2 separate regions of the Mus musculus genome follow, and region 2 is reported to be linked to region 1. Evidence: microRNA targets listed by miRTarBase, many of them from high-throughput screens and not tested one by one. Region 1 holds a microRNA gene; the other region holds the end of a gene's coding sequence.
The links. The annotated mature microRNA mmu-miR-190b-5p reads UGAUAUGUUUGAUAUUGGGUUG and lies in region 1 at 2,267-2,288, opposite strand. An mRNA with a match to its seed (bases 2 to 7 or 8) in the 3' UTR can be bound and repressed. Matches are read on the target gene's strand: a 7mer-m8 pairs with bases 2 to 8, a 7mer-A1 pairs with bases 2 to 7 and ends in A, and an 8mer does both.

Region 1 (5,072 bases):
ACCAGAGGGGTCCTAGTAGCCTTCAGATCTCTCATTCTCCCCTTGGACTATATTGGATATGGACCAAACTCTACTGGTTTGGTCTTTGGATTCCTGGTATCTAAGGAGCGTGGTCAACAGTGACGATGGGAGGTCACTCATGATCGTTGACAATTCCCCCAGATTGACAGTTGGGATTGCTGGGCTATTTTGGGATTCTCTAATAGGCAAGGAGACATTAGTCTGTAAAGGCCATAGGATAAAGTTGAAGGCCTGGGATCTGAAAGGGTATCTCAGGGTGTCAAGTGGGATGAGAAACAAGGAGGTCACAGAACAGGATCACGTTTTCTCATAGCGACCTTAAAATAGAAGGTCTGACATACTGAAGACTGTCGCTTTCCTCTACTCCTCTTCAACTGCTCCCTCTGTGGCCCCCTCCCCAGCCCGCTGTCCACCATGCCATTATAGTGTCCACCAGCTCTACTTCCCCCAGTGTAGTGCCAGCTATGCTCATAATTCCACTTGGAATCTTGCTATTGACAGGTGGCAATTGATCCCATACACAGTTGCCATATACCCATCTATGCCAGAGGAGTGGACACTGTTCAAGGTGACCGGACTGGAGCTAGCAGAGCAAGTAGAAGTGGTTCTAATTAATTCATAATGTCAAGGATAGTTAGTGTTGAGGCTAAACCACAGCAGTGTGGGACCGGAGTCAAGCATCAGGGTGGGGGCAGGGGCAGAGCCGGCTCCCTCTCGAGAGCCTCCCTGTTAAGAACAGACTGATACTAACAGACTGGGAGGAGAGACTTCCAGCTAACTGTTGGAAGAAAGCAAAGAAAACAAGCACCCCCAATTGAGAGGCCAGTCAGGAAAAGGGGACAAGAGAGAACCAGAGAAAGGACATGTATGGGTTGATAGAGAAGAGGGCAATAGAGAGGAGAAAAAGACAAGAGCAGAAGACAAGGAGGAGAGATACATCCTTTCTACCATAGGGGGCAAGATATATGAAGAGTTGCTCCTCAAATTTCAGCTCTCTCCCACTTCCACATGAGCCTTCCGGGTTAACATGGGCTCTATATACATCTCTTTTAGGAGAGTTGTGGAGAGAAATTTAGTTAGAAAAAGAATCGCCAGGCACGGTGGTGCATGCCTTTAATCCCAGCACTTGGGAGGCAGAGGCAGGTGGATTTCTGAGTTCGAGGCCAGCCTGGTCTACAGAGTGAGTTCCAGGACAGCCAGGGCTACACAGAGAAACCTTGTCTTGAAAAACAAAAAACAAACAAACAACAACAACAACAACAACAACAAAGAACTGATACTTTTAGCCGGGCAGTGGTGGTGCATGCCTTTAATCCCAGTACTTGGGAAGCAGAGGCAGGCAGATTTCTGAGTTCGAGACCAGCCTGGTCTACAAAGTGAGTTCCAAGACAGCCAGGACTATACAGAGAAACCCTGTCTAGAAAAACAAAACAACAAACAAACAAATCATGGGGCTGGTGAGATGGCTTAGCAGGTAAGAGCACCGACTGCTCTTCTGAAGGTCCTGAGTTCAAATCCCACAACCACAGGGTGGCTCACAACCATCTGTAACGAGATCTGATGCTCTCTTTTGGAGTGTCTGAAGACAGCTACAGTGTACTCACATATAAATAAATAAATAAATAAATAAATAAATAAATAAATAAATAAATCTTTTTAAAAAATCATAGGGCTGGAGAGATGGCTGAGCGGTTAAAAGCACTGACTGCTCTCTTCCAGCGGTCCTGAGTTCAATTCCTGCAACCACATGGTGGCTCACAATCCTCTGTAGTGGGATCTGATGCCCTCTTCTGGTATGTCTGAAGACAGCAAATATATATATATACATATACATATATATATATAAAATAAAAAATAATGTAATAACCTGGGTCTATAGCTCAGTGGTAGAGTATTTGCTTAGTGAATATGAGGTGTTGGGTCCCATCACCAACATTTTACAAAAAAACAAAAAAGGAACAAAAAAAAACAAGCACTGGGTATGGTGGCATGTGCCTTTAGTCCCAGTGCTCAGGCGGCAGAGGCAGAGGCAGGAGGACTTCTGTGAGTTTGAAGCCAGCCTTGTCTACATAGTGAGCTCCAGGACCACCAGGGCTATGTAGGAAAACCCTGTCTTGAAAACAAACCAGAAAGTCAGGCAGACAAGAGTCTCAGAGCCCCAGGGGCTGACGGAGCCAAGGAGGTGGTGCCAAGTCTCCTTACTGCTGTGAGAGTATGCTTGACATTCAGTTGGTTCATAATTTAACAACCCAATATCAAACATATCACACAGAAGCAGGCAGGCAAACTCTGGTCGTCATCGGCCCCTCCCCTCTCTGTGAAGAAAGGTCAGGGAGACGAACCAGAGCCTCACCATGTACAGGAGGAAACCCATCTTCAAGGGCACTGACCCTTGTGGTCTTTCACTCCCCAAATATGGTCTTGGTTATCTGTCCTTCATGCCGTCCCCACCACAACCCCTCTTCTACTGTGTTCAGTGTGTGCTGGATCATGTTTTTGTAATTCAAGAACACTGGGCAGGGCTTCATATCCGGGCACCTACCGTTTCCCGAAGCTCCCACACAACTCTTCTCCTCCCTGTTGTGTGACAGCACCAGCTTCCAGAGGATCACCATGTCAGCAGCGCCTCAGAAGCTTTGCCACCTGCCTTTCGATGCCACCTCAGCTGCCCAGGGCTTTCCGGGGGGTAAGGTTAGGGGTTTGCATCTCCTCTACTTTCTCCTTTCCAACCAAACTTCTAACGTTCCCAGATTTCTTTTCTCCTGTGAGACTGCTCAGTCTTCTCAATGGACTCCAACTTCATAGCTTCAAGTCAACAGGAGTTCCAGAAAATGTTTGCAATGTGGGGCTGGTGCTTGTACCATCTGGGTCCTTGTTTCCTCCTCATGACCTTAAGGCATCCTCCTTCAAGGTACCATTGGGTGTCCAGAACAGAAAAGCTATTGCACTCACAGGCTTCAGTCTGGGCTCCAGACTAGCAGACTCCCAGCTTCTCCTTCCTGGCTGAATTGAAACTAAGGCTTTTAGATCAAGAGCAAGAGGGAACTGCTTCTGTCAGGAGGCAGCCTGCAACCCTCAGGACTCCCATTCCTTTCTACAGCTTTCTGTCACCAGAGGTCCGGGGCTGCCTTCTCCAAGGCTCTTCCTTCATAGGGATTCAACCTGGTTATTTTTCCCCCTCTTGGAGAGAATTGGGTCTGTTGAGTGCCATTTGGCTGATGCTTCACTCACTGTGGCAAAAAGGAGCCCAAGTTATAGCTGCACGGGGGCTGGGAAAACACTCTTTATCAGTCCTCAGGCATGTTCCATGTGTCCTTGCTCCCATTAATTCTGACATCTCCCTCCCCCACACAACTTCACAGTGACTTTGTCTTAGATCAATAACATGTCCCAACAACCAATCAATTCCAATTAATTGGATGTGGCACTTGCCTCCCAGGGAAAGACTAATAAATGTGACTAAGCCCCAAGTTAGGTGCTTGTGGTATTTTGTCTTTTCTCTTTTGTAGTTCCCAAAGTCTGAGTGTGTGTATGAAATATTTATATTCTTGCCCTCCACTTACTGATGTTACCCCTCATCTCTCAAGTTCTATTTTTCCCTCCTGAGAGCCTTGGCCATAATGGGAAACAGAAAGGAGGAAGAGAGGCTGGAAGGAGACTAGAAAGAATGGAAGACTCCCCAAATGAGGGTAGCAGACACCTTTAACTGCAGTACTTGGAAGGCAGAGGCAAGAGCAGCTCTGGAGTTTGAGGCCAGCCTGGTCTACATAGTGAGTTCTAGGACAACCATGACTACATAGAGAAAACTTGACTCAAAAACAAACCCAAACAGAATTGAAGTTTAGGGTACTATAGGAACAGAGAAAGGTTGGGCATATTGGTGTGGGAGGTGCGGCTCTCTAGGAAGACTGGGTGGCGCAGTTAAGAAGAAACACCACACCAACGAAAGTACTTTATCTTTCCTTTTATTTTTATTACACTTTCATATTTTGTGTGGTTGTGTCATGGTGCCCATGTGAAGGTCAGAGGACAATTTCCAGGAATCTGTTCTCTCCTTTATGAGGGTTGATTAACTCAGGTCATCGGGCCTAGTAGGAAGTGTCTTTATCCACTGCACCATCTCACAGAGCTCTGCCAGTGGTTTTTAGGCAGCTATTTCAAATAGGTTTAAGTCCCAAGTCACAAGGCCAGGGTGTGACATCAGCTCCAGCAGCAGCATGGACTGGTGGGGTACAATTGAGCGATGTGATGAGTGCACACAGTATTGGCAGGGAGGGTCAGGGAAGATGAGCGCTGTAGTGAGCCAACCTGCCAATAAAGGAGTCGGCCTGGCACTGATGAGCCCTGAGGCAACAGGCCAAGGTCAGAGATCCAGGCAGACAGGATGGGGCATCCAGTGAGTCTAAATGAACAAAGGAAGAGAGAACTGAAGAGGTTGGTTATAAAGTGTAGTGGGAGTAGAAATTAGGGAAGAAAGTACCATGGAGTAGGAAGACAGCATTATGGCTTCCTGTTTGTATTACTTATTATGTGTGATTTCTTCTAGGTGTCTTATTTAATTCCCACAGTAACCCAGTAAGGTTGGAATTGTTTTCATTTCATAAATTAGCAACCAAAACTCAGACTTAAAATTATTTAAAAATGTTTTATATGCATGGGTGTTTTATCTGCATGTCTGTGTACCATGCGTTTGCCTGGTCCCTGCCAAGGCCGGGAAAGGGATACTCTGGAACTGTTGAGTAACCATATAGATGTTAGGAATTGAATCTGGGTTCTTTGCAAGAGTAGCTAGTGCTCCCAATCACTGAGCCGTTTCCCCAGTTACCCGCTTCTCAGATTAAAAATTGGACTAGACCAAACTAAGCGAAAAGGCCAACCCTGAAAACCAGATCTGTCCATTCTATTAACTCTAGGCCATACTATCTGGTAATCAGCAGGTGGTCCAGGAGACAGAAGGAAGATTAAAGAGGCTAAGAGGGTACAGACCAGACTAACACAGGGCAGGGACAGACAGAAGGATTCAGTCAGTCTTGTCAATCAAAATCCAGGTG
Region 2 (5,069 bases), not on the chromosome of region 1:
AAACTAAAGAGCCCCAGGACCTTCTTCCAGTCAGTCTCAATTAGGGATCTGGTGTAAGGACCAGGTGAACTTAACATTTTGAACATTCTTTTAGAACGGCTGGTGTATCAAGTCTCACTGGCAAGCAGGGAAAGACCCACCTGGTTTCTGAAGTGTCTTGTTGTCTGAGGGGCTTCACGATGGTGGCTGGCTGGGCTTTGGACAGTCTCTCTGGGCATCTTAGTCATCAGCTGCCTCTGACCACGGAGGACCTGCAGGAAATGTCACCTGCCAGACACATCTGCTTTTAAATCGCTTTCCAAGTAGCTCAAGGAAGGTCTGGAGGCCCCCTCCATTCTGTAGGAAGATTCCCAGGTTTGGCTTGTCCCCTGGGAGGTTCTTCCTCTCACTCCGTGGTACTGTTCTATGCCAGGCCCAGGGAGTCCCCACGCCACCATCCTCACCCTACTGAGCATGTTTCCCTATCCAGTTAGGGCTTAAAACAAAATGTTTCTGTCCTAACTTAATCCCCCGGAGCATGCAGCCGAGACGTAGCACCTTCACGTAGCAGTCTGTGGGACAGTCTTGGGTAGAGATGAAGAGTGCAAAGGGCTTCCTGGGTGGGAGCCATCCAGAGCTGGCAGACTTTTCCCTCCTCAGCAACCATTGATAACACCTGGTGGAAAAACCTGTCTGAGACATGGTTTGCAGGGGAAAAACAGCGGTCCCTGTTTTCACTTCTAGAGAGATCTGAAGACTTGAAGAAAAGGGAACCAGCCAGCCCCTGAGCTCCTGAGGGTGGTCACAGCCCGAGCCTTCCCTGGACTCCTGTGTGGCCATGTTGGATGCGAGTATCAGCTTTACTGCTCTGCCCATTGCACTGAAAGGGAGACAGCGGGAAGAGCATTCTCCTAACCCCGACACCTGGAGTGGCTTGCTGCTAAAGCCCCTGACCTCTGGACTTTGGGGCTGAAACGACCTTGGATGCTCTTTCTGTGCTTCATGAACCAACTCATGCACACAAGTGGCACCTTTCCCTGCCACCACCCTAGATTTTCTCCTCAGAGTGCCTGCCAACACAGGCAAGCTCTCATGCAAAGCCATCGAACACCAGTTGGGGCAGCTACGAAGCCAGGAACTGCTGATGTGAATTGGTGAAGATGCAGTCACCTGTTTGTTCCCAGATCTCAGATCTCCACCCAATCGTCTCCTTCCCAGAGCTGGTTCCGGGAGTGGGGAACTTGGTCTGTGACTGATTCACTGTTTTCTCACAGGATTTGGTGCTTGACGAATTCCTCCCTTCTGGAAGGTGTCCCTTTGTGTAGCTTGGCTTGTCCTCGGGCTTGAGTGAATGCGTGGTGGTGGGTGGTGGGCACAGAAATCATGGGCTCACGTCAGAAGCCCATCCTACACACGTCAAGAGTTTGCATTTTCCTGTTAGAATAGGTTTCCCAGATCTCAGAAGTATCCCATATTGCATTGTGGGATGCATAAGCAGAGTGAGGGACACAGGTCTGGGCAGAGACAAGACTGGGCACTAAAAGCAAGCTGAATCGAGGAGTCCTAAGTGATGGGTTCTGCCTTACCCCCCGCCCCGTGCACTCTGCTAATGGGTCATAGCTGATGGTGTCCGGGTCCCTCTTACATGGCTCACAGTCCTGTGGTTCCCATATTACCCAATAACAGAGGAGGGTTATGTGAGACATAGCTATGGGTCACTCAGGCTTGTCACAGACGAAGTCTTCAGAGTAGGAATCAGTTGTTTTGTGGCTGTAACAAAAAGTGTGTGTGTGTGCATGTGTGTGTGTGGGGGGAGACATATCACCAGGACAAACTACTTTTGTACACACATAGCCATTGTACTTTGACTCAACCCTATCCAGATTAGAGCCCCCACATAGCTTTCTGTGAATAGAATACAGGTCCCAAGGCCCACGGTGGGTACCTGAAACTGTGGGCAGCTCCGAGCCCTATATGGATGGTTCTTTTCCATATGCATCCCTCCCTACAGATGTGCTTCATCTACTAGTCACAGTAAGAGATGACTATCCTCACTGAAAATAAAGCACAGCAGTTATAAAAACATATGGCCGCTCACACTAACATGTTACACTCATCATCAACAGCAGTGAGGACAGGAACTCAAGCGGGGCAGGATCCTGGAGGCAGGAGCTGGTGCAGAGGCCGTGAAGGGTTGCTACTGCCTGCCTGCCTTGTCTTTCATGGCTTGCTCAGCCTGCCGCCTTATAGAATGCAAGCCCACCACCAGCCTAGGGATGGCACCCACCCACAATGGGCTGAGCCTTCCCCCCTCAATCACTAATTAAGAAAATGCCCTACAGCTGGATCTCATGGAAGCTCATTTCTCAACTGGGGCTCCCTCCTCTCTCTGATGACTCTAGCTTGTGTCAAGTTGACATAAAACTAGCCAGTACAACAGAGAGCAGATGTCGCAAGCTCAGAGATGTCAAGCCATGCCATTTGCAGCCTCTGCCACTTCAGGCAGAGAGCAGTCAGGTGGGACCTACTGTGGCCTCCTCCATAGTCCCTCCCCCGGCCCCCACCCCCACATCTGCAGCCAGAGGCAATCAAGGGCTCCCCATGCACTGACCCAAGGCCATCTCATACTCAAAGTCACCCTCCTATCTAGCATCTTCTTGCTCCATTCCTAACACTCAGATTAGGTCACTGGTGTGGTGTGAACTCCCCTCCCTGCAACCTCTAAGAGTCAGAAACTCCCTTCAAATCCCCAAACTGAAGGCTCTCTCCCTTCAGAACCCTGCCCATTGCCACAAGGATCTTAGTAAGGCTCGTACCTACAAGGCTGTTATGTCTTTCTTTCGTTATATCTGTAACCATTACAAAGTAGAATAAGGGTCATTTGGACATAAGCATTGGTCTACCAAGATTCTGCCCCATAAATGAAGCTTCACTATCCTTATCACTAGTAGGTGGGTAGCATATTCAGTGTGGACACACTGTACAGACTCATGACTTATGTCCTGGCAGGGGTGGTGAGGGGAGAGTGGAAAGGCATGAGATTTCCCCTATAGTATTCAAAACAGTAACCGAAAAACTCACCAGTAGTTTGTTTCTGGAATTTTCCATTTAATACCATTGGACTGTATTCAGTCGACTTCTTGTAAGCGAAACTTTGGGAGGAGGAACATTAGCTGATGGTTGAGGGTGCTCTCTTTTCCGGTGGGCTTTGCCAGGTTCTCTTTGACAATACTGCCAGTTTCCGTGGGATAGAGGCAAGCTGTGAAGTGAGGTGTTTTCTTACGTAACCATCCCCCTTGAGAGAGCCAGACAGGTTGGAGAAGGAAGGTTTCAGCCTGCTATGACCTCATCCTTTCCTGTCACTGTTGTTTCGATGCTTACAGACTATCTTGGATAATTCAGATGGCAGCCCAGCCAATCAGCACAGACTGGGTGCCTGGTCTAACCTCTGCACATTTCAATAGTCTTACCACTGTCATTGCGCTAGGCTGTGACAGCTTAGCTACTTCTTGGGAGCCATTCTTAGCAGAGCCTTCTTTTGCCCCTCGTCAGGACTTCTTCCCCGAGGCCTGATTCCCCTCCATATTCCTGCTTCCCTTCCCTAAGCCTTCCCACATCCCCCAGCCACCCTGCCACAAGGCCTGCTTCACCTTCCTACTCCTCTGCAAGCCTTAGGTCCTTTTCCTTTGGCCTGGCACTCAAAATTCAAAAGAAAAGACCTGCCTAAAGGATCAATGTGCTAACTGCTGAGTTGTATTTCTTTAGGTTTACAGGATCTAGGACATCTATGTGCTCTTCATACAACATAAAACATTTCAGCCTTTTCATAGTCTTTACTAGGAAGTGTGGGCACTTCTGTGAGGTTTGGCTTGCAACAGCTTGGACTCCATTGTCCGGCTCAGGCCAGAGGGAAAGGGTACTGGAAGTCAAGACAGCATCCAGACGCAGCCTTTCTGCTTCTCTCTTCCCTGTAAACATCGGTTGCATCCCCGAATCCTCCAAAGCAGAGCTCTTAGGACAGCCTTATCCATCTGCCAAGGTGCTGGCCCTCGAATAAGCCTGATTGCATCTCGTAAGTTCTCATCTCCCAAATGTTGGCTTTCACATGGAGATGACTAGATGTTAGTCCAGTAACACTGAGAAGTAGGACTGGCGAGTGATCCCTCTTCTATGGGGAGGAGTCTAGGGTGTGAGAAAGGATGCACCTTCTTAAGACCACACATTGGCCCAGCACTGTACGGACTAAGAATGGCTCATCTTAGTCTGTTTCAGTGGGAATGAAAGCCACATGGGACCAGACACTCTGGCATTTTACTACTTATTCAGAGCCATCAGAGACACCCATGATCCAAGGTCCTGGCTGATTTCTTCCTCTAGGGCAGCATTTTGTTTTTCCCAGAGATAGCTGCTGGCTCAAGGCAGAGGTCAGTAGGGTGGCCATGTTCTTCTCTTTCCAGATGTTGATGTTAGCATCATTCTGTTTCTCTTTTCCCTTACCTCCTAAGATAAGGTCTCTCGTTGAATCTAGAGTTTTTTGTTTGTTGACCAGTAAGCCCTAGAGCAATCCTGTTTCTGCCCTGCCCTGTCCTCCCAGTGCTGGAGTTACAGGTGTGCGTGTGTCCATGTTCAGCATTGTGTGTTTGTTTTAAACACGGGTAATGGGGATTTGAACTTAGGCCCTCATGCTTGCATGGCAGGCATTGTGACACACTGAGCCACCTGCCAAGCCCCTCTGTTGCTTAAAAATTAAATGTCACCAACTCAAGGATGTCTCACTGTGCCCCATCCTTACCCACATCCTGTAAAACAAAGCTTTAGTAGGCTTGCCGCAGGCAGAGACCACACAGTCCAGGCAGAGCCTGTAGTGAACTCGGCATGCAGAGTCATGGTCTGTCTATCCATCCGGCAGTACCATCTTTGAGAGGGGCTGGATCCTAGTTTAGTTACCCCTTCTGTGTGCTTATAGAGACTAGATTCTCCCTGAAGTTTCATGAAACTCCTCTGTGTTAGTTACTTCTCTGTTGCTGTGACAAAGCACCGTGACCAAGCAAGAGTTTGCTTTGGATTACAGTTCTAGATGGATAAGATAA

Region 2: miRTarBase lists Tmprss3 as a target of mmu-miR-190b-5p. Seed matches in the 3' UTR shown: 8mer at 1,796-1,803.

Annotation. Positions count from the first base shown.
Region 1 is chr3:90,067,246-90,072,317 of GRCm38, reverse strand. Mir190b (microRNA 190b) reads right to left here and starts at 2,298; the gene lies at 2,219-2,298. 1700094D03Rik (RIKEN cDNA 1700094D03 gene) reads right to left here. Exons shown (of 4, transcript NM_028567.2): 4 at 3,971-5,072.
Region 2 is chr17:31,176,258-31,181,326 of GRCm38, reverse strand. It overlaps Tmprss3 (transmembrane protease, serine 3), which reads left to right. Exons shown (of 12, transcript NM_080727.2): 12 at 724-2,062. The coding sequence ends at 741. Among named protein-coding and RNA genes, the nearest start is that of Tff1, 14 kb to the right of the region's middle.